Drosophila melanogaster: one gene and its partners. The protein of the gene in region 2 interacts with the protein of the main gene of each other region in a pairwise test. Each region holds a gene or a part of one and is shown on either strand. Other genes may lie near its edges. The genes, in order: CG18609, CG14005, CG15096 and CG13733.

The links.
Region 1: the proteins of CG14005 (region 2) and CG18609 interact in a two-hybrid assay, tested with the Drosophila melanogaster proteins (one large-scale study listed by BioGRID).
Region 3: the proteins of CG14005 (region 2) and CG15096 interact in a two-hybrid assay, tested with the Drosophila melanogaster proteins (one large-scale study listed by BioGRID).
Region 4: the proteins of CG14005 (region 2) and CG13733 interact in a two-hybrid assay, tested with the Drosophila melanogaster proteins (one large-scale study listed by BioGRID).

Annotation. Positions count from the first base shown.
Region 1 is NT_033778.4:18,740,241-18,747,202, reverse strand, and holds CG18609 (uncharacterized protein), read left to right. Parts: upstream 1-3,576; 5' UTR 3,577-3,627; coding exon 3,628-3,658; intron 3,659-3,717; coding exon 3,718-3,902; intron 3,903-3,964; coding exon 3,965-4,540; 3' UTR 4,541-4,686; downstream 4,687-6,962. Other genes in the region: Hs3st-A (heparan sulfate 3-O sulfotransferase-A), read right to left, coding at 967-1,286; CG17821 (uncharacterized protein), read left to right, coding at 2,480-2,522, 2,573-2,757, 2,826-3,386.
Region 2 is NT_033779.5:5,797,104-5,804,452, forward strand, and holds CG14005 (uncharacterized protein), read right to left. Parts: upstream 4,873-7,349; 5' UTR 4,784-4,872; coding exon 4,569-4,783; intron 4,506-4,568; coding exon 3,767-4,505; 3' UTR 3,414-3,766; downstream 1-3,413. Other genes in the region: CG7239 (uncharacterized protein), read left to right, coding at 5,302-5,609, 5,669-6,740.
Region 3 is NT_033778.4:18,806,974-18,818,425, forward strand, and holds CG15096 (uncharacterized protein), read right to left. Parts: upstream 8,047-11,452; 5' UTR 7,719-8,046; coding exon 7,631-7,718; intron 4,488-7,630; exon of another isoform or gene 4,389-4,487; coding exon of another isoform or gene 4,349-4,388; intron 3,206-4,348; coding exon 3,069-3,205; intron 3,003-3,068; coding exon 1,917-3,002; intron 1,804-1,916; coding exon 1,639-1,803; 3' UTR 1,383-1,638; downstream 1-1,382.
Region 4 is NT_037436.4:17,475,720-17,482,630, forward strand, and holds CG13733 (uncharacterized protein), read right to left. Parts: upstream 3,208-6,911; 5' UTR 3,088-3,207; coding exon 2,230-3,087; 3' UTR 2,076-2,229; downstream 1-2,075. Other genes in the region: UQCR-Q (Ubiquinol-cytochrome c reductase ubiquinone-binding protein), read left to right, coding at 1-26; CG34250 (uncharacterized protein), read left to right, coding at 592-752, 850-907; qjt (quijote), read left to right, coding at 3,643-4,344; CG6333 (uncharacterized protein), read right to left, coding at 4,526-5,146.

The DNA of each region.
Region 1 (6,962 bases), on a different chromosome or scaffold from region 2:
TTCCTTTTTCTGCCAGTTGTCGACACGCTTTAAGTTCTTTTTATATTCCCAGCTGTTTTTTTTTTTTTTTTACATTTTCTTAACCCGTTTTAAGCCCGCAGCTGCAGTAACAACACGGAAAGAAAAACAATTATAAAATCCTACCTAGAAATATCTGCTATTATTTAAAAAAATAATGTTTTTAAAGAATAATAAGTATCGTTCTGAGAACTTAATCTGAGATCTTAACAATATGATTGCAACTTCTACCAGCCCATATCTTTTCACTTATGTATTTCTCTGAGTGTACCAGCCCGGCTGCGACTGGCCTCGTTTCGCGCTCCACAAGGCGGCCCGCCACTTGACTGCGATCTGCATAAACGCAGCGCCACCCAGAAAGGAGTCCTCCCTCTCTAGCTGTTTCTGCTCCTTTTCGTTCTGTCGTTGTCACACACTTTCTAGGTTGGCAGACAGGCAGCCTTTAAGCCCAAATCCCCGCCGAACGCAAAGCTTTAAAGACGGGCTCAAGCACTCTAATCCTGACAAAACTGGAATAAGTTCCATTTCGCAGTACTAAGCATTTGTAACGCTTCATTTGTCCCTGTCTCCAATCCTCTGCCTGCTGTACTTTGTCTTCTGTTCCCCGCTCCTTGCTCCACGGATAAATATTTATAATTCCCAGATTCATTTTGCCGAAGTGGACTGGTTTTCTGTGCAGCAGCGCGGTAAATTCGAATCGAGCAAATGTTGTGCCGTTAAAGTTAATGCAATTTTCAATCGCGTTGTTAAAATGTAAATTTTATTAAACCATCCAGACGTGCGGCTATCTCCACACCAGATTCCCATGGGTGTTGGGACACTGGTGCGCTGGGGAAATGGAGATGGAGAGTTGGGCTTGACCTTTTTACGGTTCCGACTGTTGGCCTTCTTATCGGCTACGTGCAATAGCAAAACTCGAACCCCAAATGATTTGTTGGCCGTACTCACAGGATATCCAGCGGCAATTTGACGGAACAGTCGCGCAATGTCGCCTGATGTTGCTGCTGTCTCTGGTGGTATTGCTGCGTGTTGCTGCTATTGCTGTTGTTGCCGCTGGTGTTGTTGTTGCCGCTGTAGTGTTGCTGATAGTGATGGTGGGGATGCTGCAGCAACTGTTGGTACTCGTTTGGCTGGGCATGCTGCTGTTGCTGCTGCTGCAGCTGCAGATGTTGCTGCTGGGAGTGCTGCTCGTTGCCATTACTGCTGCCGCTAGTGTTGCTGCTGCCGCTGCTGTTGCTGCTGCTCGCACGTCTTTTGGCGGCAGTCATCAGAGAGGCAGCTGCGCTCGGCTAGAGTACGCGTTCAATGGAGCCCAAACGATAGCCGCTCTCGGCTGTTGCAGCAGCTAATTGGCCAGTGGACGTGGGCCAGCTCGATTGCAGCAACGTGCAACATGGGTTGCTGCCGGATTGCCGTATTGCCTGGTTGCCGGGTGGCTGGTGGGCGGTTAGATTTATGGGCCAACCCACCGACACACCGACGCCGCCTCCTCCACGTCCTCCTCCTGGGGGGAAACTGCTCTTTTGTTTCGACCCTTATCGCAGGAGTCCGTTTCGAGTTTTTTGCGCTTTAATTAAATTTCAGGCAATCGAGGGGGGCTGGGATTCCTTTAGCTCTATGCGTTCGAGGTCACTGCTCACAGAATTGGAAAGGTAACCTGTGACTGGGCGACATATTGAGCCTCATTTCCGCCCGGGCAAACAAAACGGAAGTTTTCTAACATCATCATCATCATCATCATCGGTGGCACCAGGTCCTGGCCTTATTGTTGTTCTGTAATTAGATTTGTTGCTGCTGCTGATGTGGCTGTTGTTGCTCCTTTCCTGGGATTAAAGCCGTAATGGCCTCTTCCGATTTGGCTGCTGCTACTGATGTTGCCCATAGCCATCGTCTATTGTCTGCCAAAACGCTTTAAACCACTGAAAAGAGTAGCAAAACAAAGAAATCGGTTAGGCAAGTCAGGGCCATAAATTATTGATACCATAGTACGTATACATTAACTTTTCATCATTTTTTATTATAAAATTATGATGTATATTTTAGCAATAGAGCAAAAATTCTTTCCGAAAAAACAACTTTCATTAGAAGAGGATATTCAGAAATGCAATACATTGAAAACAGTTTTAGTAAGTAGACTTTGAAAAACACATTTGATATCTAATTTTAAATTTATATATTTTTGCAAGTACTAAACATAGGTTTGAATGCCCGGAAAGCGAACCACCTGACACCAAAGTGGGATCCATGCAATGCGTGCGGATGAATTAGAAACTTCGTTAGAAATTCAAATCTTGACGACTCTTGGTCGGGGCACTGCACTACGAGAATAGTATAGTGTCTGCAGGAGCATACATAATCAGGTGTTATTGTGTTTTGGGTCCGCATACACTGTTGCAGGTGCATTGGTATATAAAGTGGCGAATGGCAAACGCGCTACTCAGTTGCATTCGACGGAGACACCATGAACTTCACACTATTGGATTTATTCCGAGGGCTGCCGGCAGGTCAGCCTGATCTTTGCATCAGAAATATCCACTTACTTACTTATCCACAGATCCCGTCCATTTGCCCATGTTTGGCACACCTTTACCGGCGATTGTGATAGTTTTGGGTTACCTGCTGCTGATTTTCAAAGTGGGACCCGATTTCATGAGATCTCGTAAGCCCTACAATATGCGAAAAGCCATGTTGATCTACAACTTCTGTCAAGTTCTAATGAATTCTGGCATTTTTTTAATGGTGGGCATTTTTAGCTAATTGCTATACCTATAAACAAAAAAATTAATTTCATATCTCTGTACTTGCAGGGCACTTACTATCTTTTTATTAAAAAACTATACGATTTCCGCTGCATGACCATGCTGTCCTCGGATCATCCAGATAAAGATGTCGATCGTTTGTTGACCTACTTTTACTTTATCAACAAGGTGATCGATCTGATAGACACGATATTCTTTGTGCTGAGAAAGAGCAACAAGCAAATCACCGTACTCCATGTATACCATCATGTATTCATGGTTTTGGGTGTGCCATTGACATACTATTTCTACGGACCCGGAGGACAATACAACCTGATGGGATATCTCAACTCATTTGTACATGTGGTGATGTACGCCTACTATTTCGCATCTGCTTGGTATCCAAACGTGAAGAGCACATTTTGGTGGAAAGAGTACATCACCAAGCTGCAGTTCCTACAGTTCATGATCCTCTTCGCCCAATCTGTACTGACATTGTGGCTAAATCCCGGTTGCCGTTTTCCCAAGGTCCTGCAGTACGTTCAGCTGGGAGGTTCCGTTTCCATGATGACCATGTTTGGAAACTTTTACTATCAAACCTATGTCAAAGCCAAAAGTAAAGAGCAGTGATTTATAAATACAATGCAGTTCTCTTTACGCAATTGAGCCGGTCTCAATCGAGTGTACTGAGACTGAGCGTTTTATTCTGGGTCTCTCATTCCGAAATGTAGGACAGACATCGCAGTTCAAATAGCTGAATAATACATTATGTGATTTGATTTGGCTTCATTTCGTTAAAACAAACTGGATTGTTTCAAGACTGCTGAAACAGTCGCCAGCGGTTCCTCAAACAACAATCAACCATTTAATAATGCTCCGATACTTGCGCATACCTCAAGCGGGTAAGTTCGGCAATGTGCTGATTACTACAAGTATATCACTTCTTTGAAATACTCAACAGATCCTAACCCAATTCCGCTGGCTGGATCACCATGGCCTATCACACTGATTTTGATAGCATATCTGTTGTTTGTCCTTAAATTGGGCAAGATCTTTATGAGAAACCGGAAACCATATGATTTGAAAACGGTCTTGAAGGTCTACAATCTATTTCAGGTGCTATACAATGGTCTCTACTTCGGAATGGTAAGTTGGATGACTTGTTACAATCTTTTTGAAATTAAAAAGTGTGTTCCTTTATTTTTCAGGTTTTTTATTATCTCTTCATCGTGGGCATTTGCAATCTGCACTGCATAGAAAGCTTTCCCGAGGGCCATGAACGCAAACAATTGGAACGAGTATTGCATGCCGCATATCTGCTGAACAAGGTCCTCGATCTTATGGATACGGTGTTCTTTGTGCTGCGAAAGAGCTATAAGCAGATCACCTTCCTGCACATATATCACCACGTGTTCATGTCCTTTGGAAGTTATGCCCTAACCCGTTACTATGGAACTGGAGGCCATGTCAATGCCGTTGGACTGCTGAACTCCTTGGTGCACACGGTCATGTATTTCTACTACTTTCTGTCTTCAGAATATCCCGGAGTGAGGGCCAATATCTGGTGGAAGAAGTATATAACATTGACACAGCTCTGCCAGTTCTTCATGCTGCTCAGTTATGCCATCTATGTGCGATTCTTTTCACCGAATTGTGGCGTTCCACGCGGTCTTCTCTATCTAAATATGGTGCAAGGCGTTGTGTTCATTTATCTGTTTGGTAAATTCTATATCGACAACTATCTGAGACCTCCGAAGGCGAAAATCAACGCAAAGCAATCGTAGCCTTAAGTCATTTAAATATACGTAAATGCACATTTAATTAGTCCATGTATTTAACTAAGCAATCACTATGACTTCTGCTCTCTCAAATGTGACTTCGGACCGAAGATATAACTAAACTGAACGAAACAATAAAATGGTATTGTCCCGAACTATTTCTGCATTTCATTATGGGGCTGTGTTTTTGTGCCAACGGAACAGCGTGAAACGTGATATAATCAAAGCTATATATGGGATGTTTATAAAAACCTTAATCGTATACAGAAAGTAAAATAATTTTCCATTCCACGTTAAGTCGCGTGTTTCAACAAATTTCCATGAAAATGATTGCCGATGGGCGGTCGAAATGTATCGAAAACCTAATAACATAAAGCTCAAGCGACCGGCGACTGGAAAAATTGCCAACACCCAAAAGAATATTATGAAAGATGAATATTTGAAATGACTAAGGAACCCTTTGATCTGTTATCGGCTTAAAAAACAAAGCACGATGTCATAACATGCGTGTTATATTGGACTTGGAACTGAATTAGCGTGTGAATCCGCTACACATTGAACTCACATTTTAAGGGGGAAAAGTACTGAATGATTATAGGAAAGAACCGTGTGTACTAAAGTTTCATAATATTCCATAGCGATGTAGACAATTACATAAACAAAATAACAAAATATATCGTGGTGGTAATCGTATTCTTAATTTATTTGTTCAAGGTTTGTTTATTGTCAATAGCTTATAAAACATTTCTAAAAGCTCCTATTGAAAGTAAAGGTTTTTTTTTTTGTGGAAATAAGAGAACACCAATAATGTATGCTAAAGAGAAATTTCGACTCAAAAAAGGTCGGAATTTCAATCAAGAGCTCTGCAAATCGTAGCTTTAAGCTCAATCCATATATATTGAGTAGTTGTAATCGAATAATTATTGTAAGTTTACAACGTATTACTCACATCGCATTGTCTATAAGACAGCTGGCGAGAAAGCAGCAAAAATCAGAGGTATGATATTGTGCTAGATAGCCAGCCGATCCCTTAAGTGTTTGGAATATCTGACAGTACAACTGAAAGAATCGATCAAACTGAGAAAGGTTTGGCAAAGCCCTGCCAGTTAAATATCGACAGAGTGAAAACTGCACGCCGGAAAAACAGCTCGAGGCAATCAAATGCTGCCCCCTACTCTTTGCTTTTCCAGCTTTTCCTGCTGTTTTTGCTCGTTTGTTAGCACGTTGGAAAAGCTTCGCTTGATAAGCATAAGAAATGGAAGGCAACTAACAAGTGCGTTGGCTTGAGCGTGTGTGGGATTTTGGGTGTGTGTGTGTGTGTGTGTGTGTGGCACAACGAACGACTGCACATAACAAGCTTCCATTCTATCCCATTTATGCTGCTCCTTGGCAGCTGATAGGACAAACCGGAGGCGCTATAACCGTAGCTGAACTCTGTTGCACTAGTCAAACTTAAGCCGGAAATTCACTGTGAGTACAGAGAGAGAATAGTTGTTCAATTTTTAAGCGAAAACTTCAGTATTAGACTCAATAGATGACTCAGTTACTTTATGTACAGAATTAAAGTTTAATATCAAATTCCCATGTATCACAGAGGTATTGAATATTGATTAAATAGATAGCTCTTATAGATCACTGCAACATAATCTTTAATGAAATTGTTTCCTTAAACTGCAAAGTCTTTTTCCTCTGTGCACAGAAACATGGAACATTCACTTGCCTGCAATTGTATTTACTGCTGGAGAAAACGAAAACAATTGCCGCAAATATGGCAAATGGCAATTGAAAAACAAAAGTCCCTGGCGAAACGAGACCAGAAATCCGTTCGCCTGCTGCTTTCACACTTTCCAGCCACGCAGGACAAAAGGCCAAAAAAGCGGCAGCAGGGACGTGAGTGCTGAAAAAAAAGCCAAGGATGCAGCTGCACACAGAAGAAATGAAAAAAATGGGGACGGAGTGTGGGAAAATGCACAAAATTGGCTGTGAAATGAACGAGATGAGGCGGCTATTGTTAACATCTGAGGGAATACAAGGGTAATAGCTATGACAGCAGCGAAACTGAGGTCAACACTTGGCTTTGCGTGCGCAAAAGGCAGGCCAAAGTCAAACGGAAATCTGCATAAGACCCTCCAGTTGCGATTGACAGTCCTTGAGATGTTTCCACTCAGTTTCCCATGTCTGTGGCCTCTGACAGAACCTGAACAGCAAACCGAGCACCAAAACATCGAACAGCTGGGTGGGCAATTAAAAGGCATTCCAGAGGTCAGCATAAATTAGTCAAATGCGTGTATGCAAATGCCATTTGTGCGATTAACAATGCAGGCTTCAAGACCACTGAGCACACTACGCACAAAAGACACACATTAAAGTTATCTGAAATTATATGGCAAAAGGTAACACATGGATATATATATACAATATATGTATA
Region 2 (7,349 bases):
TTAACATAAGATGTACGTTACAACTGACTGATTTCTAAGGTCTGGGTCTTGGAAAGTGTAAAACGTAAACCAAAACCAAATGAACAAAACTGCTTATTTGCGGTTAACCACAACACGGCAATTCAATACCGATAAGGAATCCAGGAAAAGGCTTACGAACTTGCTAACCCAAGTGGACTACAAAACCTCACGCCTTTTCTTATATAAATTTGATAGAAACTAAATTACTTATTTATATAAAAATATTTAAATATTGGAATTTATATATGTTAAAGTAAATAAAGAAACTAAAAGTGTATATAGCGTAGATTTGGTTACACGTTTAAAAACGGGTTTCTTGTCAACCAGTGTAATAAATGCTGTTGCTCAAGATGATTCAGTTGTCTCCATGACAAACAAAATTTGTGTAAATGCATATGTGAGCTTTGAAGTTACGTCACTTGTAGGTGGGTGACCCCCTGGGGGTGTCATTTGTATTTCAGAAGTCACCAAGCGACGTATGGATTTTTCAGGTCAAAAGGGGCAGAGGAAAAATTAAAGAAATAATAATTTCAATTTATGTTAAAAAACTTAAAATGCACAAGAGGGTATTTCTAGCAAAGAGAAATTCACCAGAACTTATTCATCCTAAAAAGCATTTTTAATCTGGGAAAAACTATTTTACACTGTTTATTTATCGAAAAGCTTTGAAGTGCATAGGCAGAAATCAGCCTTCTGGAATTTTCTTGGCAACGATTATAAACTTCCGCTTGAATCTTGTGTATTAGATTGTTTCTCTCGCTATTTATCTAAAAACCAGACATCTTTCCGAGCTAATCGCATCCAAGGTCCTATGTTCTACGTAATCCCAACACCGCAATGCGTTGGTATCGCCTTAAATTTACCAAGTCCCTTACTATAGTTTCTTATCTACAATATGCGACATCAGATACCAGATACTGAGCTCTGTGATGCAGAAAACTGCTCTGCTTGTTTTACTATACAAATATTCGCAATTATTGAGAAAAACATTTGTTTAGTTCAGTTATCGTTTGATTACCCAGAAAATGATCGAATCATACTAATGGTGTAAATAAGCACGTGTTTATCAAGTATAAATATTTAATAATAGGGCGAAACACATGGAACTAAACGCGCAAACTGTCGTATAATTGGCAAATATTTTATTAATAAACAGCAACACAACAAGTTAAGTAGATCGTGTTAAATTGCCCGTTCGAACCACTTCGCAGCGAAATGTTGATTTTTTATGTACAGCTCATGTCTATTTTTATACAACTTAAGATCCATGTACTTAATAAATTGCATAGAATTGTCAGATAACAATAAAAAGACAGTAGTGCTTATAACAATGTGGAATACACAATTACCTAATACACTTCCTCCTATATTTAGCTTTTTTCGACACCTCCAAGTTCTTTTTTAATAGTCGTGCGCATAAATTAAGTTATATATTTTCGAGTGTTTGCTAAGTGACAATATTTAGCCACAAACGACGAGAAGATTTATGTGGACTCCGGCGATTTAATGAGCTGTTTTTAAAGAAAACAAATGCCAAACAAATTTTTAATGGGCTAACAAATGTGTTGTTAATGTGAAAATTAAATCGCGATTGGAAAATGGAACTCATCAAATTGGCAATTAACCAAAACGATTAATTTCAGTTCTCTGCCTGCGAATAAAATGGAACTTGTTATGATTTTCCCATAGATTCGATAATGATTGCCAAGAATGTTATCAATCTTATCATTCAAGTGGTATAGAACCGCATGATTAGCGCTCAAGGAAAACCCCATAAATGACGACAATCATGGGAAATTTTAAACAAATTATGGTAACATTATAAACCTTAAAAATTGTACTTGATGTAGTTACGAAGTTGGTCTGATATGAGTAGCAAATTTCATAAAAAAAAAGGCGGAAGACGAAAAAAAAAGGGGCGAACAATAGCGCCAGTTAGGCATGATGTATAAAATAAACTTTTACAATTGTTAAATATTATTATCGCACTTACATCACACACACAGCGAGGAGATTTTCGATTTTTGTGCTGCTGCTGATGATGATTTAGATAATTTCTTTATTTCGATATTTGCTGGTGGCCGCACGAATTTGAAATTTGATTTCTTTTGATTTGGCTTTGTGTTTCGTATTTTGTTGATTTTTTGGCTGCTCTTTTGGGCGAAACGAAAAGAAATCGCGCTAATATTTCTGCTCTACCTGCTGTTTGTTGTTGCTGTCGCCTCGCTATGCTTTGCTTTGCTGACCGTTTTCTATGAATGAAAGAGGCGCTGGGCAAAAGCAACAACTGCAACAAAACAGTAAAAAAAAGACGTGAGAGGCGTGACGCGACAGCAGAGAAAAAAACCGAATTAATGATGGGAGGGGGGGGGGGGGGTTAGGCGGGGCAAAGCGAAATGTAACGAAACGGGTTTTCACATAGTTTGTAGCCCAGTGTTGTGGCCCTGGAGAAAGAGAAACGGAGGAGACACGCAAAACAGAACGAGAAACTTTTACACTGGCCAACAAACAGTGTGAGAAGGCGTATGGGTGCGGGGGGTGAGGTAGGGAGAGGCGCGGCAGGGCTCAGCTGATTGTGATTGGGATTTTCGGGCATGCCACATGCAGCGGCGGCAACAGCAGCAACAACAATAACAGCCTCCCACTCTCGCGCTCTCTCACTCGCTCGCTCTCTTTGCTGCAAATCGAATTTTTTGTTGTTTATTTAGGTGACGCTCGCACACATTGGCAAACATTTCAATCCGTGTGTGCTGCACACTTGTTTTTCCTTCTTTAGCCCCGATTCCACGGCAATTTGTGCACTTCGCTGCCGTTCGTTTGTTTTATCCCAATCTTAATCTTTATTTTTATCCCAGACTGGCGGCTGGCTGGCTTTCTCCGCACCGCACAAGCACACACACTCGATACAATCGCACACACCTTGATGCGCTCCTTTGGCGAGCCACTCATTTGATTTAAAGGCCTTTTCCGATTGGCACGCGCGTCCGCCACCCGCACACACGCGAAAAACACGACCGTTTCGCTCGAAGTCTCGAAATCGAAAAAGTGGAAAAGCCTACAAAAAGTCTGTGGCATTTCGGTTGGCAGAGAGCGCATTGTGCGCTAAGAGAGCGACTAAGAGAGGTCCGCATGCGGTGTTTGCGGATATTTTCACATTCCGGCTACGGCCACACTGCTGCAGCAGGGGTTGATGAACAAATAACCGGCGGTTGTTGCACACGCTAAGTTGATCGAAATGCAAAACTTAATAGGCTATTCACACTGATTTCATTTGAATTTATGTTTGATTTCGTTACTATTATATCAACAAGATATTCTGTAACAATAGAAATAATAGTATAGTCTATATAGTATAGTATATATATATAGTATAATAGTCTTTCATCTAATTTATTTTTTAGCCAGTTGTTTAGTTTTAGTTTTTTTTTTAAAAATGTAGCTACCATACAAGTTCGCCTCAAGACAATGTTTTTAATTTAAGACTAAAGACCGTATAGATTGATCTTTTGCACAGACGATTGTTCATACACATTACACTTATGACGCTAGAAAAAGAACGTTTGAGAAATTATAATATCTTCGGTTCGCTATGCTGCTGCTTTGTACGTCGAGTGAATTAGACATCTGTGTCTGAGAAAGGAACGAATTGAAAAACATACACAGGGTCGAGCGCCGCGACTCTATTCCCAACTTAAAGCTAAAGCTGTCATACAATGTCCTTACCACGTGGTGCTAGTAGTCGGGATCATGGTTCCAGCTTGATGGTCGTTTGCTTTATTAACGCCAGCACTGCCTCCTGCCGCTCCATATACGCCAGAAAGTTATGTTTCATGTCCAGGAACTGCTTCTCCTTGCGCACGAGCGACTGCAGACAGGCGTCGTTCTGCTGCTCGAGCAAACTGTTCTCCTTGCGCAGCGCCTCCACTATTGCCATTGTGATCTTGCCCGAGTGCGGCAGTATACTACGTCGCCCTCGTCTCCTTTTGCTCGCCGAACGTTCGGCGTCCGTCTGGCCACCGTTGGTGTGGCCTCCATATGGCGCATCCTCTGCCTCGGGCAGGATGTGGTTGGCAGGCGTGAGAGGCGACCGCTGAATGACACTTTCGGCAGTAGCTCTCTCCAGGTAGTGGCTAGCCGCGTTTTCCAGCTGCGTCACTGTGGGCTTGTATTCAATATTCACCAGCTGGTGGTGTTCGTCTGGCAGAGGCTCTGTCTTCACTACTGCGGGAACTAGGGGCTGGGCATCGAGGAAGGTGCATCCCTCTGAGTCGCGCTCAAATTTTAGCTGGGCGGGCGAAGTGTATAGCAGTGGCGGCAGGGCGGGCAAATCCACACGTGCTGTCGCACGGATCGTCTCCAGCACATTGCGGAAATGGAAGAGGGCGGACGACGGCCAGGCAGGACAGAAGAGGCAATCGATCAGCGCGTAGAGACGCCAATCCTTCGCGAAGTTCGCATTGCCCCCCACGCGATTGCGATCGTTCCTGCAGAGAAGTGGAAGGAGATATTAGCACTGTGAACTGACCCGAGCCGCTGCTGCGCCTCACAAATACTTGTTGCGGTAGCTGTTGATGCGCCGGCGAGCCTCCTGCTTATTGAGCCGAACTCCGTTCTGCTGCAGGCCGTGCGCGATTTCCCGGAAAATGGGCAGGTTGTCCGTGTAGGAGGGTATGGCATGCAGGTGCTCGCGCCACAGCCGCAGTAGCATGGCCTCCTCCAGCGACGTGTAGTAGCGCAATCGCAGGTGCTTCTGGCCGCTCATATTCCGGTCTAATTTCAATTTTGTGGAATCGTTATAATCCAAACATTTTCGTACGTGACCAAGGACCAGGCGTGGAAATACCAATAACGCTTGAGCGCGGCAGGCGCCAAAAAATACCATCAATGATTTAAATTTTCTTATAGAGCTATTGAAATCTGGAAAAGATATATCTAATATCTTAATAATTTTATTTCTTAATATTGGACTAGCCCCAAAGCCATTCTCCCAGCTGTAGTATATACATGATACTGATATGGTACTAAATGAAATTTATTATATTACTTATTTCAGGAAATTCGCTCAGGAATCTAGGCATTTTCGGCGTTCTCGCGCCGCAAGGTCACACTCTTCTGTGTATCAGAGCTGTTGTTGATTTTTTGTGCGGAAAAACTGCACTTGGCTTCAACCATTCTACCACAGCGTCGCATTGTGTAACTAGAGTGGAGATCGCATATCCAAAGGCAACGTTACAGGGATACATCTGCGGGAGCAGATCAGGAGCCGGTGCAGAGCAGTCGATGGACTACGAGAAGCTGGCGTTGAACGCGGGCGGAAGCGGCAGCGGTGCCGAGCAGGACTTAGGCATGTGCGGTGGTCAGGAGCTGCTCGATGGCAGGGGCAAGGAGAAGGCGCGTCGCTACTGGACGCCCAGCGAGGAGGAGCGCCTGTACGAGATCTGGGGACGCGACAACTGGCGCCTGACGCGCACCGGCAAGAACACCATCTTCTTTGGCCGGTGGGCCGAGGAACTGCGCGACCGGTTCGCCGTGGACGTGAAGCCCGAGGAGATCCAGATGAAGGTCAACCAGACCAGGGCCAAGTTCAGGTAGGTAACCGTTTAGACACTTTGCTATACCGGATTAACTGACTGGTTTCCCTTTTAAGGCAAGTCAAAAAACAGCTGCAGGCGGATCCTTCGAGCTATGCTACGCGCTGGAAGAAGTACGACATTATCAATCGCATCCTGAAGAACCTGCACAGGCCCAAGAACGCCGATCCGCTGCCGCCAGAGGCGCTGCTCAACAACCGCGACATGACACCGCCCCGGGATGATGCGTCCGCAGAGCAGTTGCAGCAGCAGCCACAGCAGCAATCCGTTCAGCAGCAGCAGCAGCAAGGCTTGGGACTGGCCAGTGAGCCAAGCACTGCCACCTATTACAATAGCAGCAGCAATAGCAATCACGGCAGCAGCCACAACAACAACACCAGCGGCGGAGTTAGCTTCAACACGGAGCTGTTTACGGACCAGTATGACGAGGTGGTCAAGCAGGAGTACGAGGACGATGAGTACCGCTCCATTCCCTTTCAGGAGCAGTTGCAACAGTATTCCCCAGCCGAGCCGGCTCAGCTGCTCGAGCTGCAGACGCCACAGCAGCAGCAACAACTGCAGCAGCAGCAGCAACAACAGCAGCAGTTCCAAACAAACTATGAGTCGCAATTTCAGCAGCAGCCGGCTCAATTCAATAACAACAGCGTTATTAGCACTGCGGCCACATCGACCGTCAACCATCAGCCCATAACGGCGGTAGCCTATATCAATAGCAGCAATAACACCATCAGCGTGGCCACAAACGCAAACGGAGGCATGCCAGCGCCGGTGCCCGCACAGGTATCGGCATCGGTTCCGGCTGCAGCTCCAGTTTCGACCACCAACAACGCCGTCGTTGGCGCCTCCCCCGTCCCTGTGCCACGGAAGCGCGGTCGTCCATTCGGATCTGTGAATCCCCCACACGCAGACTCGCTGGAGGCGCTCTACATGGAGGAAGTTCGGCGAAAGAACCAGCTGCTCTACGAACAAACCAAGATATGTCGGCAGCGACTGGAGCTGGAGGAACGCAAGGTCGACCTCATGCAGACCTTCTTCCCCAAGTGTCTTGAGCAGCAGGCGCAGATTCTGAGCCACGTCCTTCAGCTGCAGAAGCAGCATCAGCATCCTACGGCCCAGCGGCCGCAGTGAACTCCTTTTCCGACTTTTCATAACCTCAATTTTGGACCGCAGTGCACGAACACTGGTTTTCAGATACTGGATTGCTGCAACATGCCGCTTCGCAGGCTGATCGGTGCCACGAAACTTAACAAAAAACATGCAAAACTGTTTGTAAGATTAAAAAGTAAACTTAAATAATAAATATATTTAAATAACGAAAATCGCTGGATTATTGCTTTTTTTTTATCGATTTTCGAGTTTTGAAACCGAAGGGTTATATTTTCACAATCGATTTCTGCAAAGTTATATAATAATATTATTTGGAGCAAAGAATTTTATAATTATTTAATAGAAAAATAACTTAAAATCGAGGCACTGAGCACCAAATGTAAAATAACATTTTAAGATTAAACAGCGCTGAAAAGTATGCAACATTTTTATTAAAGGAGACTAGCATACACCCTTGTCAAAGACACTAGAATAGAATATTCTAGGGTCTTTGCCCTTGTGGATGGATTGTTTATGTCAATGTTTATAAAATCGGCAGGATCTTTAAAAGTGCATACAATTACAAAAAACAAACGATCTTCATCAAATAAAAATTGAAATAGGAATGCTAGATACTTATCCCATCTCAAT
Region 3 (11,452 bases), on a different chromosome or scaffold from region 2:
TGATAAGATCTCTTCAGATTTCATAAAAATAAACTCCTTTAAATGGGCATTTAATGGATTCCCTTATCGTGAGATTGCTAAAGAGATCAAGATTCCTGCACATGTGCTTGGCGAATGAAAATTGCTGAAGCGCCCAGAACTCGTAACTTACCCAGCACGAGATCCGATTCGAAATGATAGTTTTACTGGGAATCAAATTTAAATTGTGTTGACTCAAATACTCGCTCACTCCCGTCACATAGCTAAAAATACATGTGTAAATATATATATAAAAGTAAATATATACTGAAGTCGTCTCATACGTAACACTGCCATTGTTCATATCGCGTGCTTGGAAAAAAGGCATTTATTCAAATTCCGCTTATCAACAAGTTCGCCCCGCCAGTGGAATTTGCCCCCCATCCCGCAACCCAAGCCGCCTTGTCCCCCACTTTTCATTCGCCCGCCGAGTTCGAAGCTATAAAATGTGCACGGCACTCAAATGTGAGAGATACGCTCGAAATAGGGATTAAGTGATTGCAAAATTGATTTGCCAGCTCGTCTTTGTTTTGTGATCCAACTTTATCTGCTGGCGGAGTCTAGAGTATAAAGTATTTAACTCAAATCTGCGTTTTCAAGTCTGCAATCTTTGCTGCGTCAGCAAAGCGTTGGAATGTACAGGTCGTTCTCAGCACGTGATTTTTTTTTATTGAAAGCAAATTTTATTCCATAACCAAAACATCAGATTTACGTACCTAATGATAAAGACGTTGAGGTTGATCACCTGGTAACTTCTGTTTACATGAGCTAATTCTACATGTATTCTACATGTATATGCAGCTTACACTGTACAAGATTTCTCCACAACGATCTCTACTTTTAAAGCATACTTTTTGGGGCGTTTTGTAAACCAAATCCAAAGTTTCATTGTTTGCTCCTTCATTCAGAAAATCGTCAAGCAATTACTAGTATAAGTAGACGAAAATGTTAAAGTAAGCAGATTTTCATAATTTAGAATATTTTTTCAATTCAAAAGTTTGCTATTTAGTTGGGGCCTGCTATTAGTATAGGTAACTATTGATTTTGCACAAAGAAATCCTCAGAATTAGGAACTAAACATTTTTACTTGAGCTGATCATAAGACCGTTTCCAAAAACAATAAAATATCATAGTTAAAAAACTTCAGAGAATGCAAAACGAAAGTGTTGGAAACATTTCTAAGATTATGATTGATCTTGAGCACTTTACTCAAAATAGATGAACGAATAATTTTAATTTACCTGACCTTCAAAATCGAGCAGTTCCCACCCACATTAAAGACCCACCACATGTGGGAATCAAACATCTCTGCGGTTTTCTTTTCACATGTTGCTCATGCTCTTTTTATTGTTTTTTTTTTTTTTGTAATTTTTGTTTTCTTATTTTTTGCATGGGTATTCTTATCACATAGTATTAACAAACTAAAACTTAAGACGAGTGGAATGCAAATACGAAATAGTCACAGTTAACAAATACAATTTACAAATATACACGGCGAATGCGAGAATGCATTGCACCTGGCTGCAAATAGGATTGATAGTTTTGGATTTGAAGGAGAGCGGAACTAGCTGACTAGTAGTTTCGGTAACCATTTAAATAAACCCAAGCTCAAAGCTTCATCTAGTGCTGCGACTCCACCTGGGGCGTGGAGTTGCGACGAGGCTTCGCCGGAGGATCGTTCCAGGGCTGGACATTCGCCTTGCCGAAGATCACGTACAGAGTATTGCCCACCAGGTAGAATCCGGCTGCAATGAAGAACACAATGCGCCACTGCTCGGGATCGTGCTGGAAAAAGGTAGCAGGAGATTGGGGGTTTAGTCAAGGCATTCAATAAAATAATTATCCTGACAAGGATATCAGGCAAGGATATAATGATTACAAATCGATTGTGAACTCACCTCATTTGTGACAATGAATCCGACGATCAGCGGAGCAATGATGCTCATAATGTTGGCCACGCCGTTGGTGATGCCCATGAGGATGCCAGCGAAGTTGGGCGACAGATCGATGTGGTTCGTGTTGAAGCCCAGGTAGGTCGCTCCATTCATGCCCACGGTGAAACAGAGTAGGACCACAGCCAGTTCCGACTGATCTGGGTTCACATAGCCAAGGCCAACCAAGGTGACCATAGGAATCCACAGACCAATGGAGTTGAAGAGCTTCCTGCTCGTAGACCTTGAAATGCAGTTGCGGTTGTTCAACTGTGCGGATATCGACGAGAATACAAAGGACATGGCGAACATGCAGACGTAGGGCAGCGAGGAGAGAAGAGCATTCGACTTGATGTCCTTGCCCAGGATGTTCTTCATGTAGCTGGGGATCTCGGTGAGCAGGGTCCAGAAACCCCAGTTGTGCACCGAGTGTGAGACGATCAGGACGAGGAAAGCGGGTGAAGTGAAGAAGCTCAGCCAGGGCGTGGGCAACTGCTCCTTCGGCTGTTCCTGGCCACCGCTCACCTCGTCGGCCTGCGACATCTCGATCAGCTTCTTCTCCTCCGCCGAAATGGACTTGCACTCTTGTGGCGATCCTGCGCCGAAGAAGAAGTACACCACCGACCACACGCATCCGATTCCTCCAGAGATATAGAAGATGCTGGGCCAGCCGATTGGCGAGGCTGCAATCACTCCACTGGTGGCCAGCATGAGAATCGTTCCGAACTGGTTACCCGAGTAGGCACAGGTTCCCAACGTGGCACGCTCCTTGGGCGGTGCCCATTGGGAGAGGATCGTGTGGGTTGAGGGAAAGACCACGCCCTGGCACAGACCTTCCACCACTCGTAGGGCGCAGACCAGCTGCCAGCCTCCGATCTTTGCGCAAATGGGTGTCAGGATGTTCAGGATCGAGCAGATGGCCAGTCCCGACAGGATCATCACTTTGCCGCCATATTTGCGAGCCAATTGACCAGCTGGCACCTGGGTGATCACATAGCCCCAGAAGAAGCTGCTCAGCAGCAGGGATTTCGTCTTCTCCGACCAATTATACTCCTGGAAAGCAATAGTAATTTAGTATTCTGCTAACTTCATTACTGACTTCGCCATATATGTACTTACGGGAAAATCGGGATTGACGGAGGCGGCATCGGTCATGGCCACCACAGCCACGGAGAGGTTGACTCGGCAGCCATAGGCCACCGTAAGGGCAAAGAATAGCAGTAAGACCTGGAAGTGACGGACACCCAAGCCGGAGTCTGAAAGGAATCAGAACGCAATCGATTAGGTAAGTTTCGGTAATCTGACACCTATATTGATCTTCAGCCCAGTCAATGGGCAATCACCCATCGATTAGCATTCCTAATCAGTCGCATTATCAGCCGCATTATCAGAGGCACATGTACCTAAATGTTATGACTGTGGGGCTGTCTCTGTAGGTCACCTGTAGGTCGCTTGTGGCCAAGACACGGTCATTCTAAGGCCCACAGATCCGAGATCGGGCCCCCAACTGAATGGATTTATAACTGAGAGACTACATGCTATAGTAGTTATTTCTACCATTTCAGGCGTAATTTACGCCTAAATTTATCATCCCTTATCAGCCAGACAAGCACTGGATATACAATTATTTGCCTTTCTATTTGCATTTTGGGGGGGGGGGCGGCTTCTGTTTCTGGTTTCTGGATTACGAAAAAAATTCCATTCATAGATATGGCGCCCAATTGTCGGCCACACTTCAGCGGCTATGTCTGCGCCTCCGAACCACCTAACCACCACCCACTTTCCAACCCTTTGGCCCCAAGTTACTGAGATATAAAACTATATCTCTATGTATTGTAGTTGTGGGCTAATGTTCGGTGTTTGTTTAATCTCGAGTTTGCTGACAGAGATTAACTAGCTGTGAGTGGGCCATAAAAAAGCAGTTACAACCGCTTTACACCGAGCTATTTAAAAATCCCGAATTAATCCCCATTTTCGCTTCTATGCATTCTAACTGAATTTGGGGGCTCGTCTTTTATGGATATTCTGTTATCATCGCTGATAAGAGTTCAACGCAATTTTTTGCCTGTTTAGAGCTGTTTATAGTAAATATATATTTTTCGAGCAAGGGGAAAGAAGCTGTGGCAATGTTGGAATTATTTTGCAGTCGATTTAAAAAGTTTGAAAATAGTCGTAAAAAATATATTACTTTCAATTATAAATAAATTTAGAAATCGGGTTGTAATGTGAGTTTTCATGCTTTATGAAACAAAAATTGGATGGCAGTTATTTATTTAATTGCATATTGCATACAAAAAGATATGACTTTATGTTTTAAGAATCACCTAAAGGTACTTCTTTCCTTAACTAAGCTTAATGTCTTTTAAGTTCTTTGTAAAACCCCTTAAATCAGGACCCACCTTCATCCTCAAAGCGACGATTCTTCACAGTGGTAACCATACTTGGATTTGGTTTAGTTAGTAACTATGAATATGTAGTGTGTGGAATTTAAGGCAAAGGCACTACCGTTCGGCTTGGAGCCTGCTCACTAACTGATGGCTTCTTGGCGGAGCATCAGCAGGTGCTTTACGCAAATAGTCAGATCATCTAACCAGCATCGCCCAGTAGTCGTGTGGCTATGTGGGTAAGCCTATCTGTATTTGGTTGAGCTACAGCTCGCGGCTACAGCTGTATCTGTATCTGTATCTGTGACGTTGGCTGTCGCTCTGATTTGTTGACAGTGTAAGAGCGCGTGGCAGTTGCACCCCCACCTCCACCACCCCAAAACACAAACCCATTTTCAAACCCTGAAGGGGTTCCACCTAATCTCCAGCTTTTGATGTAACCAATTTAGGCATTATGCTGATCACACGGTCACCGAATGTTACGATCCTATCACAGATCCTAAATTATCTGCGATTTATTGCCTAGCCGCTATTTTCAAATCGTTTTCCGATAGCTTTGAACTTGAAAGCGGTTGGAAATTGGATCGTATTCCACATAGCGAAGCTTTGCATTCAGCGCCAAAAGCTCAAGCGCCAAAAGCCAAAGCTGACCAAAGCTGCAATGTTATTGTTTACTACGGTAGGTAATGGCTATAAAGAACTGGCAGCAAAACATTAAAGCTTTTGCTAACCACAAGTCACGCAATTAGAATCGTAATTACGGAATAGTAAAATAGAATTATGCATTTTAATTGAGTTCCATTTCCCACACTGATGTTCAGTCACTCAATGAATGAAGACCGCTGGACACGCTTCTGGGGTAAACACATCAGAGCCTTAGGGGTCTTATTGCCACTATCATATGGCTGATAAGGATATGGCGAATGTGACAGGTGGAAACTCCGCTCCGAAGACGTTAAGACCAACGACTTTCAAATGTCCAGGCACTTCAGTTTCACATTGACCAGATAGCGAGCGCCACTCGATGACATTCTAGATAGGGTTTCCTTTGATAGCCGGGTGTCGTTGCTGTTCGTGGGATAATGGCCGTCAAGTGGCAAGATGTCACAACTTGCCCCAGACAAGGTCCACTCACTTGGCCACCTTGTGCCGCCGTGCGGATGGATGGTTGATTGGGCGAATGGATGGATGGACGGCTGATAAGCCTGCATTTTAGCCGGGTTTTTTGGTTGGGTACAGACGAACGCACAGCAAAAACTGGCGGAGCGAGTTTTTTCCAAGCGATAGAACCACCCACAATGCAGACGAAAAATAATAAGTAACAAATTTGCATTTGAAATTGAATTGAATTGAAATTGAAATGGATATTCCATAGGTTGGTATTGGAAATGTATGTCTATGTCAAATGGCTGAATTCTAATGAATGCCACACGGTACTAGAAGAAGTGGTATTTGGTTGTAAAACAACTAGCTTAAGCATCGAAAAGTGGAAATAGACTGTAAAACATTATTGTATTTATTTTTTTAAATACTTGTGCATTTGGTCATACATTTTTTCCAGTGCCTTTGTTGGCCTATCAGCTCCATAACCTTCCGTTCTACCCGTGATTTGTGACCCGACTTGCGGTGTCAGCCTCGTCTCGTTATGAGGTTTTTTGCGTTATTTAGCGGGCGCCATGGCGCCTGCCTTGCCAATTTGAATATTTAGTGAAATTATTTAAATATGCAATTACAAGTAATCCAAACTTGGCTGTTCATTTCGAGCGTTCATGTGTAATTTATGCTCTGACGGAAGAGTTCCCCGCATTTTGTCAAGTGCTAATGAATTTGCATGCCGGCCACTTGGCGCCCGATAATTGCACGCAGCTCTAAATAAAGATATTCGATTTATTAGCGTTAAATGTGCATATTTAATTAGCCACGTGCGTTATCCCTAAAGGCTTGGCTCCAAGATATCATCAAATATCCATATTCACTTCCCCCTCGACAGCCGAGTCGTTTAGTCAAAGCAGGAACATAATAGGAAATATGCGAGATTTATGTTTTCGCCATATACGCGGCCGACTCTAATTGTTCAAAGAATCGTATCTCTCAATCTCAATCTGAATCTGAATCTGAATCTAAATCCGTAGCCGATGTTTGCTGTTGTTTAGTAGCAGTATTTGTGCAATAGTTGCTCATTAGTTGCCGGCACTAAACTGGATTCGCCTCAGACAGCCTGTCCCCGCATATTGGAGCATTCTTTGTGATCTATTCTGTTTTGTTTGTTTATCTCAAAATTCCACATACGCCCGGTTGGCTGCCACCCAAACAAAAAGAGCACAAAATGAAGTGATTCGATTCGCTTTGTGTGTGTGTGTTTGTTCTTACTTTTGCCCTGGGTCGCGATTTGCATACAAACTTTGATGATTTATATTTGCAAAGCCACTTCCTGTCTCTTCGATTTATCGGATTAGTTCTGTGGACAGTCCACTTTCATCCCAACTAAACTAATTCAGATTTAATGACTAGCCTCTGTTTTCGACCATAATAATAATTATAATAATAATGAGCTGTTTGTTCTTACTTTTGCCCTGGGTCGCGATTTGCATACAAACTTTGATGATTTATATTTGCAAAGCCACTTCCTGTCTCTTCGATTTATCGGATTAGTTCTGTGGACAGTCCACTTTCATCCCAACTAAACTAATTCAGATTTAATGACTAGCCTCTGTTTTCGACCATAATAATAATTATAATAATAATGAGCTCAGTGACTAACACCCATCGAGCGAAACACATTTTGGCACCATGAAAACACTTGATGCAGTTAGAACGAAAAAGTGAAATAAGGTGAATAACAAAAGCAAATAATTAACCGTCACTGCCACTTAAGATTTAATCACATTTTGTGAAATTAGCAAACTGACCGCACTTCAAAATTAATTGTTCGTCGTAATCGAACAGCACTTCAGGTTTGGAAAACTTTCGGCAAACGATGTTTTATGTTCGAGCCTATCGCTTTGGCTTTTGCAAATCACTGAAAAAAGACTCAAAAGTCAACACTATTAGTTTTATATAACTTTTTATGATGCAACACATCGTTAAATCACTTTCCAACTAAAATTCTCGCTCTGTGGCTTTTTGTGGGTTTTCAAATAAATTAGACTATTGGCCATTATTATTATTTCTGGAAAGTAAAACCGCCTCCCTTGTCGCAACCCACTTGTCAAATTGGTTATTTCCTCCCACCAGCAATAAAATAAGGACCGACCGACCCATTGGTGTTATCTAACCATGGTGCGTTGCTCCACTTACGTTTGCCCACGGCCTCATCCTCTTTGTTAGAGTTTTTGGCTTCCATGTCCATGGTTCCATTGCTGCCACCGCAACACATGAGTTTCATGATGACTACTGGCTTTTAGCTTTTACTCTCTCGAATAAATTACTTTCTAAACGCGTGTTTGGCAGTGTTGTTTTGGTGGGTGGTCCGTTTGTATTGTTCTAACACTTTTTCGCTTGGGCCGTTCTTAATGCGGCGTGGTAATTAAATATTTGCCAGCGATCGAAGCAAATGTCAACATATTCACAACCGATGCAATCGCTTTCGTTTCTTCCCGATTTCGATAGGGTCGTTTCAATAGGATGTTGTTAACTATTCAGTTCAGTTTCAGTTAGAGTACTTGAGTACCGCTCTCGACGACGCTGCGCTTTCACACCGACTGAACGCTGAGTCGGCGCGGCGACTCCATTTATACGCTGCTAACGATCGATCGCCACTCAAACACGCTCCGTGCTCGCACGCTCCAAAATACGTCACCGGAGATTTCAGCCAACTAGCCAACGGGCCAGCTAGTCAGCAGGCACTCCATGAAAAGCACTCTCCACTGCAAAATCCGGCGGACAGAGAAATTCCCCAGAACCAGACCACTTGCCCGGTTCGTGGACAGCCCGTGGGGTGGGCGTTGTGGCAGAGATATCCGTAAAATCGAATCTTATCGAAGTCATCTTTAGATTACCCGACTTGTCAGGGACTCCGTGTACGAAGTGTACATATGTACGCGTAGATGGGAAAGACATCGCGCCCAAGTCAAGTGGCCGGACCTCGCACCCAATCAAAGGAGGCTCATTTGTTGATCTTGACATAATGATATATTCTATGGTATCAATCCCGAGGGCGATGCGAACGGCATGCAATCCACCAGCCGCACCGAAATGGGCCAATGGAAAATTTACAGCCGGCTAACTGGGGGTCTTCAGCTTTGCGAGTGAATGAAACTTTTTTGGTAAACACAGATTGAATTATTGGGCGTCAAGGGAAACCCCGATCAACAAAAAATAAAATACGAAAAATACGAAAATACGAATAAAAAAAAGAGCTCAGAGTGGCGTAGCTTAAAAACTGGTTAAGCGATCACTTGCCGTACTCGTGGATGCCACGGAACTTCGCGCTTAACGATCTATCAAACTATCTGGAAATTCCTGGCCGAGATTAGAGTGGAGTGCAGTGCTCTTGACATTAGGGCACTTTCACTTTCATCCATCCAAAGGGGCACAATTAGAAATGTTCTCGGCTGCCGCCCAGTCAGCAGGTGTCGATTGAAATTCTTAGTTATGCATAGTTCATGCCTGGCTGCTCCAATGGAATTCGTTTGGGATCCCATCTATTGTCGCTATATGGCGATTGTGTTGTTTGTTTTAAAGACAATAACTGGAATTTCTTGCAACTATTATTATTATTACCACCACGTCGCGTACTTTGTACACAGATATCTCATTGTATCTTCGACTTTTTTCTTGAGACGCACATCACATTGCCAAATTTATGGGCCCCGCAAATGAAAGTTCGATCTAATGGTGCGTCAGCAGAGCAAACAAGTGTCTTAGATAGCTTCGCGACAGTTGGGTCGATGTATCTGGCAGATATTTGCTCACATGCCCGTCTCATGTCCCCTGGAAATGAAAACAAACTGATTATCTTTAGTCGCTAAACAGTGGAAGCAGACAAACGCGTGCACCAGAATGGTTGTACTAAACGATCTTAAGTCCGCACGTATAACGTGTCCCATCTAAAAATCGGCACCAGGCGGGGGGTTGGGACTACGGATCTCCTCCTAATACACTTGTCATGATGCCGCTGTTTGGGTTTCGATCTCATCAAACGAGTTACGACGAGTCAATGAGAGCGAAGTTATGATGCTCGGAGTCACGAATCGATTGACTAAGTTTCGTTAAGCTTTTTTGGCAGGTTTTGGTAGACTTTGATACCCTACCGACTCTATAGGAAATTCACTGGGGATTCCAAATTTATCAAAAGGCGCTACACCGAATACGGTTATAAGTCGCATCATATATAACACGACAAATCTCCTTTGAAAGCCAATGATTGTGTCAGTAAAACGCTGAAGTAGTATCACATTTCATGCTATCAATGTGACTGTAAAATTTAAAATTTCAATCAATAGAGATTTTGGTATGATTTATATGTTTTAGATTATACCTTTAGTAAAAATTCTATGAGCTTTAAAAAAGCAAATAATAATTAGTAGACTACCATTAAATGGACTGCCTGAAATTTATCCCCATAAAAATCCCCGTAGTGATCGCAGAATTCCCCATAATATCATTGTTTACATCCATTACAAACATAGAGAGCTAATCTAACTTTGGTTTTAGTAAAGCTACTTAACCATTTACCCAATCGGGCTTATGCATTATTGAAATCTTAGCTCGCTGTACCGAATTAATTGAGTTTCGATGGCCTAATGTTTTATAGATTCACCCATATATCGTGCTTGGCACAATAGGTTCGCCACAAAGCGCCAAAAATATATCCGTTAATAGATCCATCGGTTGCAAAAATAGCTACCTGTCGTATGCAAATCGATTATTGGTTTATGTAAATTGGAAAGTTCTGCCGCACAGCAGCTCTTCCGTTGCCGAATGATGCAGCATTTTCCGATCCCAAACCGAATTTCCATCAACCCCCCCCCCAGCGAAGTGATCACGCTATGCTCCACTGGCAAATCCGTATGATATCTGTGTTTTTGTTTCACCTTTCCGCTTTTCACGTGTCAGGTGGCAGAAGGGGCGGAGTATTGGTTGAAAATAATTGCCAGTCAATGCAATTACACATCCTCCGTCGGATTTTATCGGGCGGGTGTTGTTCGACCAATTACAATCCGTTACACATTTTTATTTGCAGCCCAGCGAAATGAGCAGTTGTTCTAATGGATTACAGATTCGTACTATACTATATAGACTTTCAGTCTGCATCTGATTGCACAAGTTTGCCGCCGGACTGGTGATGAATGATGCCCGGGTTCTTAATATGCAAAACGTGCTGTTTGGCTTGAACTTGGCCAACATGTCGACTTTAGTTCCTCAATACGAAACTAAAGGCTTACACCCCCTCAAATTCAAGTTCAAGTGCCTGTCGTTCAATGGAAAACGAACGAACTGCCGCCAAATTGGCAAGCTTTGTTGGCCCCGTCAGTGAGCACATAATCACATAACTAAGCTAAGTACGACCTATTCGATGTTGGCCATACTAAAGTCGACCGATCGCAATTGGCCGTTCGAGCGGCCCGTTGCGCATGTTAATTGCGGGCCAATAGCCGATTTTGGCTCAGATGACATTGACTAGGGTACTTCCACCCATTTCCATTGTAGCCCACTCTAGAACTTGGGTATTCCGATGGTGAGTTTCTGCGGTCTTTCAACCGAACTCATCAGGAATTAAGTGCACACGAAGAAATTATGACGTATTCCGCATATTTGATTAATTATCAACAAATTTATAATGATTATTCAGTGCAATAGTCAAATTTATAGCATCTTTCACTTGATTTTTTCTTTTAAGAATTCCGCATAACTTAAATATTTTTTTTCAGTGCTGTGAAGCTTAAAACGTAGATTTCCTTGGGGAATTCTGGAAGTGCGAATACGAACGTCATCGTCAGATATATTTTTATGCAAACTTTGCACTTCGAATGCCAAATGAACCCAATCGAATTGGGTTGTCTTAGGTTCGCAGTTTAATTTTCGACGTCAGATCGAAATTTAGCAGCCATTAGGAGCCACCTGTTAGCATCTTAACGTGATGTGATCAAAAGAAAGGTGGCAGGTGCGTCAGTTGAC
Region 4 (6,911 bases), on a different chromosome or scaffold from region 2:
CCGCTGACTACGCGAACGACGAATAAGCGTCCCAACTAGCAGATAGTTATGTTAAACTAATTAATAAAACTAAACCCACAGTTCAAGAGAGTTGTGTGTTTCGGTTGCTGGAAGGCTAAACACCAAAGGCTTTGTACTCATACGTTACACATGGGATAATTTTATGTTCTATTTTATCAGTTTTATTGCTCTGTTTGCTAAACAATTCTAGAGAGAATTTGTTTTTCTGGATGAGCAGCTGCATCAGCTGTTCCCCAGTCTTGGTTTGAGTCCAAGCTATCTCGCCCTGCAATGTCTCAAAATAAAATAACAAAAAATTCATATGATGAGAATTTCAAAGAAAAAACACGACATGGAGGCAATATATTACGTTTTAATAATAAAATAAAAATTTTACTTGTTTTTAATATTCGGTAACGGTCTTAGCATTGATAGTCACCCGCTAGAGTTGCAGAGAATCAATCATCGAAAGTCACCCGAAACAATCGATGAGTGAGAAAAGTAAATAGCCCCACCTCTAGCCACCGCACAGCTGTTTGCAAGCAAAATATTGGCGTTCTAATTGGTTATTGATCCGATATTAGTGCATTAATGGACTGCTGCGGTAACGAAGTGCGCAGCGAAAGTATCCACAACATGCTACAGGCCCTGGTGGACTCAAAGGTGGTCAACGTGCAGCTTTTGTCGATTGCCGTGGGCATTTTCTTCGTGGTCATGCTGCTGAAAAACAATTTTCGCAGCTTTTCTGTCACGTAGATGGATCCAGTTTAGTGTTTAATATATCTCATAATGTAATGTACGCTAAGGATTAATAATAACTACCACAAGCCACCTTGCATCTTGTTTCAGTTCTATGGTTTTTGGAGCACTCCTCGAGGCAGTGACGTCACGTACATTATATGTGTAATATTTTGGGTGCTAGAACGTACTCGTGCTTTTTTCGGTCTCAGGGTCATCGTGTTATTTCGTAGGTGTTTGCACAACAACACGCCCAACCCCAAAAATATAATTGTTTTCGAAGGCCGGGTGAACTGGTTTGACTGCCCCCGAGACTTCCACGGATCGTGCAAAAAAAAAGAAGAAAAAAATAGAGCCCAGAATTTGTTAATTTCATCATCAGGCGACTGTGATTCTTGGCAAGCTGTCTTGCGATAAGATAGGTTATTCGAATACTCGAAGTAAGTCCTACTTGGAACAGGCATTCTCATCCAAAAACTGTTGAACTTTTGCCCCAATTGCCGGAGTAGAAGCCATATCCAATCACACTCAATTGCTATCCACAAACGATTCCAATTGACCGGCGATTGATTGCCCAATGTCTGCACGCACTTCCTGGTGCAGCATTAGAATTCAATAGACGCCCGACTTCAGCTGGCTCCATTCTGCAATCCCGTACTGACTCATTGCCCGGCACTTTCAGAATTTATGCAATACTGCGGTACGTGCTCTTATGCTAAAATATTGCATTAGAACACCCAGCGAACGTGACTTGATTGCAGGGCTAGAAATAGCAGCACTACCTTTAAGCCCTCGGATAAGCCACTGAGACAAGTCTACCTATTCTTCTGATTAGTGTTGCTTATACGAACATGAAGGATCCCATAAATATTCTTAAACATCAACTGATAGTCCTGCAACTGTCTAATCCTTCATATAGCCTGAAAATCTACCTAACTTCACAGCTTACTAATATAAACAAAAAAGTTACATCTTTAGTAGTTTATTATTAGTTTATAATAATCAGAGAACATATGCATTTCTTAGAAATTTCCGTGAATAAATGACCATTATTACAAGCACAACTTACGCATTAAACAATAATAATTGATTGATTAATACATATTCATATGTATTAATTACATCATCGGATCATTCAAACTTTCCCAACAAATGCAGTTAAGCTATTGCTTACCACACAAAATAAATCAAAATAAAGCCATCCATTAAGCCGGATCATTAACCCGATTCCATACTGCTGAATGGATAATCCAGCAGCTTGTCAATGAACTTGTAAATCGGGAGTTCCAGGAACTCCGACGCCCGTCGAAAACGAAGTGCTGACTGAAGTTCCGTTTGGTTAGTTTAATCATTTACTGTTCATAAGAGATCTATATATGTATGTACATAACAATTTTTACAGAGATATTCGGTTACAGAAGAAATTTTGTAAAAAGCTTATCTAAAAACCATAAATTTGAATATCCATCAGATAATGGGTACGAAATCAGATCATCCCTCGACAGTTGACTGTTGCTGGTTACTTAACTTATTTTTCAGCGCAGAGGAGAGGCAGTCCAAGTTATGGGATCGAATTTTTGAAGACCTGGGATTCGCCTCAAAACTTGGTGGCTTATCAGAGCCCGCCGAGCTGGAATCTTCCTTATCGCCTTCGCCAAATTTCCGTTTCTTGCGATGCTTTATTTGATCACTCGGCTTGGGCATTGGTAGCTGTTCGGAAGGGATCGATCTGACATCAGCTTTATCGTCATGGTTGTTGTGAATCTTCTGATGGCGCGTTTTTTTAACTTTCTTCTTCTGGAGACTTGCCATGATACTTATCATTTCCTCCTGCTGGGCTTCGTACCTGGAGATGATGGCGTTCCGGCGCTCCAGCTTGGCGGTGAGGAAACCGACTTGGTTCTTGAGGCTGTCCACTTCCCCAGCCTGCTCGGCAATGGTCTTCATCTCGCGGCGCACCCGCTTCATCTCCTTTTCCACCAGTTCGGCATTCTGCCGGACTTCGGTCATACGTTGCTGGTACTTGTTACGTGTGAGATTGATCTGCTCCTCCAGGAAGGCAATGTACTTCTCCTGCTTAGCCACGTGCTCGTCAAGTTTCTCCAGCTGCTGGCTCAACACTGAACACTGCTCGGCTCCACCGCACTCCCGCTCATTCCGATTCGATTGAGCTGCGGCTAGTTCGCTCTGTAGAAGCTGGATCTCCTGTTCCATACGCGCCTGCAGAACCACCTGCTCCTGCCGATACTTACGATGTTGGTTGTGCTTGGAGCGCAGCGAGGACACCTCGCTCCGCAGGAGAACCACCTCGTTCTCCAATCGGGCTTTGGCTCGATCGTGGTATGGCATCGCGCTGGACGAATGAAATTTTGGTAGTCCAAAACACACGGCTTGTCTATTGGAAAATTGCTTCAAGATTGGGGTGTCTATTGGGATTTTGAAGGCATTCAGTGGGGAATCCGAGATCTGACATTTAAAAACTTAAATAAAACGTTGTTATGCAAGCATGCTCCGGTAATTGAAATTTTTTTTGATTACGCAATTCAATGGCAACCTTCGATATTTGTTCCCCTGTAAATAAGATCTGATTTGATATAAAAAAAAGGCATTTACTTTTTATTTCGACCAGATAAAAGTGCCCGTTTTACAAATCGAAAAATTCGAACGAAACGAAAACCGAAAAATCTGTGCTTTCGATTTAAGATCGATATCGTAAATTACGATAAATTCTCGATGATTCCAGTTTTTAAGCGATTACATTCCACGTGGCATTTGCTTAAAAACCTAATTTCAGGTAAATATCAACGTTATTTATAAATATAAGTCCATTCAAAGACCACTAATTAATAGGCTAGCCTAACTAACCATCAGTCTTGAACATTTGGCTTAAATATTCTGGATAAAATGGAATTCAATTACCTTGCTGATTCCGCACTTTCCACTTTAGTGGAAAACAAAAAGTTCTTCAAGGAAATGTCAGATTTCGTGTCCGATTTCAGCGATGGCGGGAAGATCAAGAAGTTGCTCGAGCAGAGCGTTGAGCAGAGCGTGGAGCACGCCGTGAATGTAGTCCATATGAAGATAAAGCACCAATCGCTCAACAAGGCTATGAATCAGGTCAAAAACTCTAGCGCCACCATCGAGGAGTTCGAGGAAGTCTGGAAGGAACGCTCCAAAGCGGTGGAGCAGAAGCGCATCAATGTCAAGAATCTACACGAGTTCAAGAACTTCGTAAAAGCAGTTGAATCAGCAGCTGGTCAGGCGGGTGCGGAAGTCAATGATCAAGCGAATGGCACCGCCTATGATGAGGACCTTATTATGGAAGACTCCGGCAGCGAGGTCTTCTCGTTCTACGATCCCTGGTCCAAGGCCCTGATAAAGAACCCCATGCGCAACAAAATGTGCGGTCACATCTACGACCGCGACTCGGTGATGCCGATCATAATGGACCGCATTGGCATCCGATGCCCGGTGCTCGGCTGCGCCAACTTGTGCTACATCCAGCCAGATCACCTGGTCCAGGACGCCAATGTCCAGCAAAAGATACAACAGAGCATGTCTAACGCGATCGTGGATGTAACTGCCTCGGAGGAGGACGAGGAATAGAACAGATAATGATTGTGCCCAACTCCGTCCTTGTTGAGAATTAACTTAGTAAAATAAAATAAATTCATTGTTGCCATTATTTTATTTTATAATAACTTGTACTTCTATTAATACACATATATGCTAATTTAAGCTGACCACAAAACCCAGTGAAACCACAATGTACACACAAGAATACGATTCACAACATATTCCTGTACCTACTTGTGTTTTCATTGGACTTCTTGGTCGAATGCGAAATTTTCTTGGAGTGAAGATACTGGATCAGCAATTGGTTGGCCGAAGATTGCGGCTTCACTTGGATGTCGCTCCTTTGCAGCTTCTCCACGGCACCGAGCATGTCCTGGCAGTGGTGGCCAATCCGCTTGGCCCGATCCCTTTCGACACTGGCCAGCACCTTTTGCAGATGCGACTCCAGCATGATGGCATTGTTCTTGATGGTGGACACCTGGCGCTCATAGTGCGCCTTTATTCTTTTCATCTCCCGCTGCTGCTTCTCGATGCGACGGGCCTGCATAAGGATTATGTCCGCCAGGTTTTGGCGATCGGTGTGATGCTGCTCTGCCTTACAATCCTGCTGCACCAGGACACCAAATTCTTCCTCGGAGATCGGACTTCCTATGCGCTTCAGGCTGGAACTCGTATTCCGACCGACAGTTTGTAGAGACTGCAATGGTTTCCTAGATGGCCTGGAGGACATCTTCTGAGTCTTTTGCCGCGTATCTAAAGTTCTTCGGGAATATGGCCTTTCATTCGGCAAACCAGGCAATCCATCGTTGCAAATCCTCACGCCCTTGGTCATTTTAAACAATAATTTAGCCACTCGTGAATTCGTTCTGACTCTTAATTTTATTCGAATTAGTTCAAATTTTGTCGATTAAGTGAGGGCAAACGTTGTTTCACCTCTAAAAATATTTAATGGTTAATTGAACTCTTAAGGCAATTCTGCGTAATAAATAAGCAACTGAACTGTTTACTTTTTTATGATATAAATGTTCGATTATGAATCATGCAACACTCAAATCTCTGCAAATATCCTCAAATTGGCGGAAAGTGAAAAAGTCGATCACTTTTACCCTTTTTTTTGTAACGATACTGACCAACTAATCTCAGTTATTTGAAAGTACTATAAAAACCACAAGCAAAATGACTGCAATTTGATAAACTCAGGTTCAAGGTGGGCTCATTTTTGGCAAGATCTGGTCAGAGTTTTCATGATTGTATGGGTTGAACCAGAGTTGAAAGTGCCACGCCCATCACTTGAGGCGACCAACCACACGCAAATAACCATATATGTATGTACATACATGTATGCATATGAATATTTAAGTAGGTACAACAAATTTGCACTTCTTGTATACTTATCTTAATATCTCTTAAGTAAATTTGGAAATAAGGAAAAATGTTTGAAGTTTCATACATTGCTGTCTTGGTTAGAGTATTCCAAAACCATTGATTTATGTTTTCTCTGCCTTTTGGTAAGCATAATTTGTATATTTTTGGCCGCGATGCCGCACACTTGATAAGGGTTATCGATATGCCCATGGATATATGCATGCATTATGTGCGACTGATCATTATTTGTTTTCTTCCCATAGCCTGTGCATCGCATTCGCAAGTTGTAAATTATTTGGCAGCAGGAAGCGGATTTCGTTTGGTTTTCGGGGTGTGGAAGATGGATGGATGGTGCTGGCCGGCGAAAAAAAAGACATTCTTAATATCCTGAATACTCATAAATTCAAAGTACCCCCTTGAGCCATAATTCAAGCAACTTCCTCGAATAATTCGATTCACAGTCCTTCAACACAATGCCAAGGTCTGGTCGTTTATGTCACCATCACTGCCTTCGGCTTTCTATGCTTCCAGTATATTTCTTAATATGACAAACTTCTTCCCACTTATGCAATTTCCATAAATTCAAGGTCAGCCATACAATAAAAGTCCAGACATCAGATACTATATACAACATACCCGGCACATGTGGACATTCGTCTGGCTACTTTTTCGGCAGCCAAAAGATTGAGGAAGAGTAATTTTTCGCCAGAGATGAGCGAAAACATCTGCGGATCAAATATATACATATATTTTAATAATAATAATTTTAAAATTTTTAATAAATAAAAATGATAAAAATAACTCACATTGATTACGTTTCTAATACAAAGAAATGAAATCTGATAAATCAAGAGCTTTAAATACCATAATGATGTTCATCCAAGAGATTCCAATGATACTTTGCCTAATAATTAAAGTCAAATCAAATTAAAAGTTAAAATCGTTTTGGCAGAAAACTGTTAGTAACGATAGATAGTAGTTGAAATGAGAGATTAATACAAATACATAAAATTGTTATCACTGATATAGTTAATGACAATAGTTAAAAGGCTATAAAAGGGTACAATGTAATTGTGGTACTTCAGATAACAAGGCCTTTGAAAATGTTGATTTTAATTAATTTTAATTTTTAATTTTAATTTAGCCATTGTATGTCTACTATACCAAACAAAACAAGAACTTAATTGGGTTTTTTGTAGTACGAAAAATTATGTGGAACCTTAAACATATAA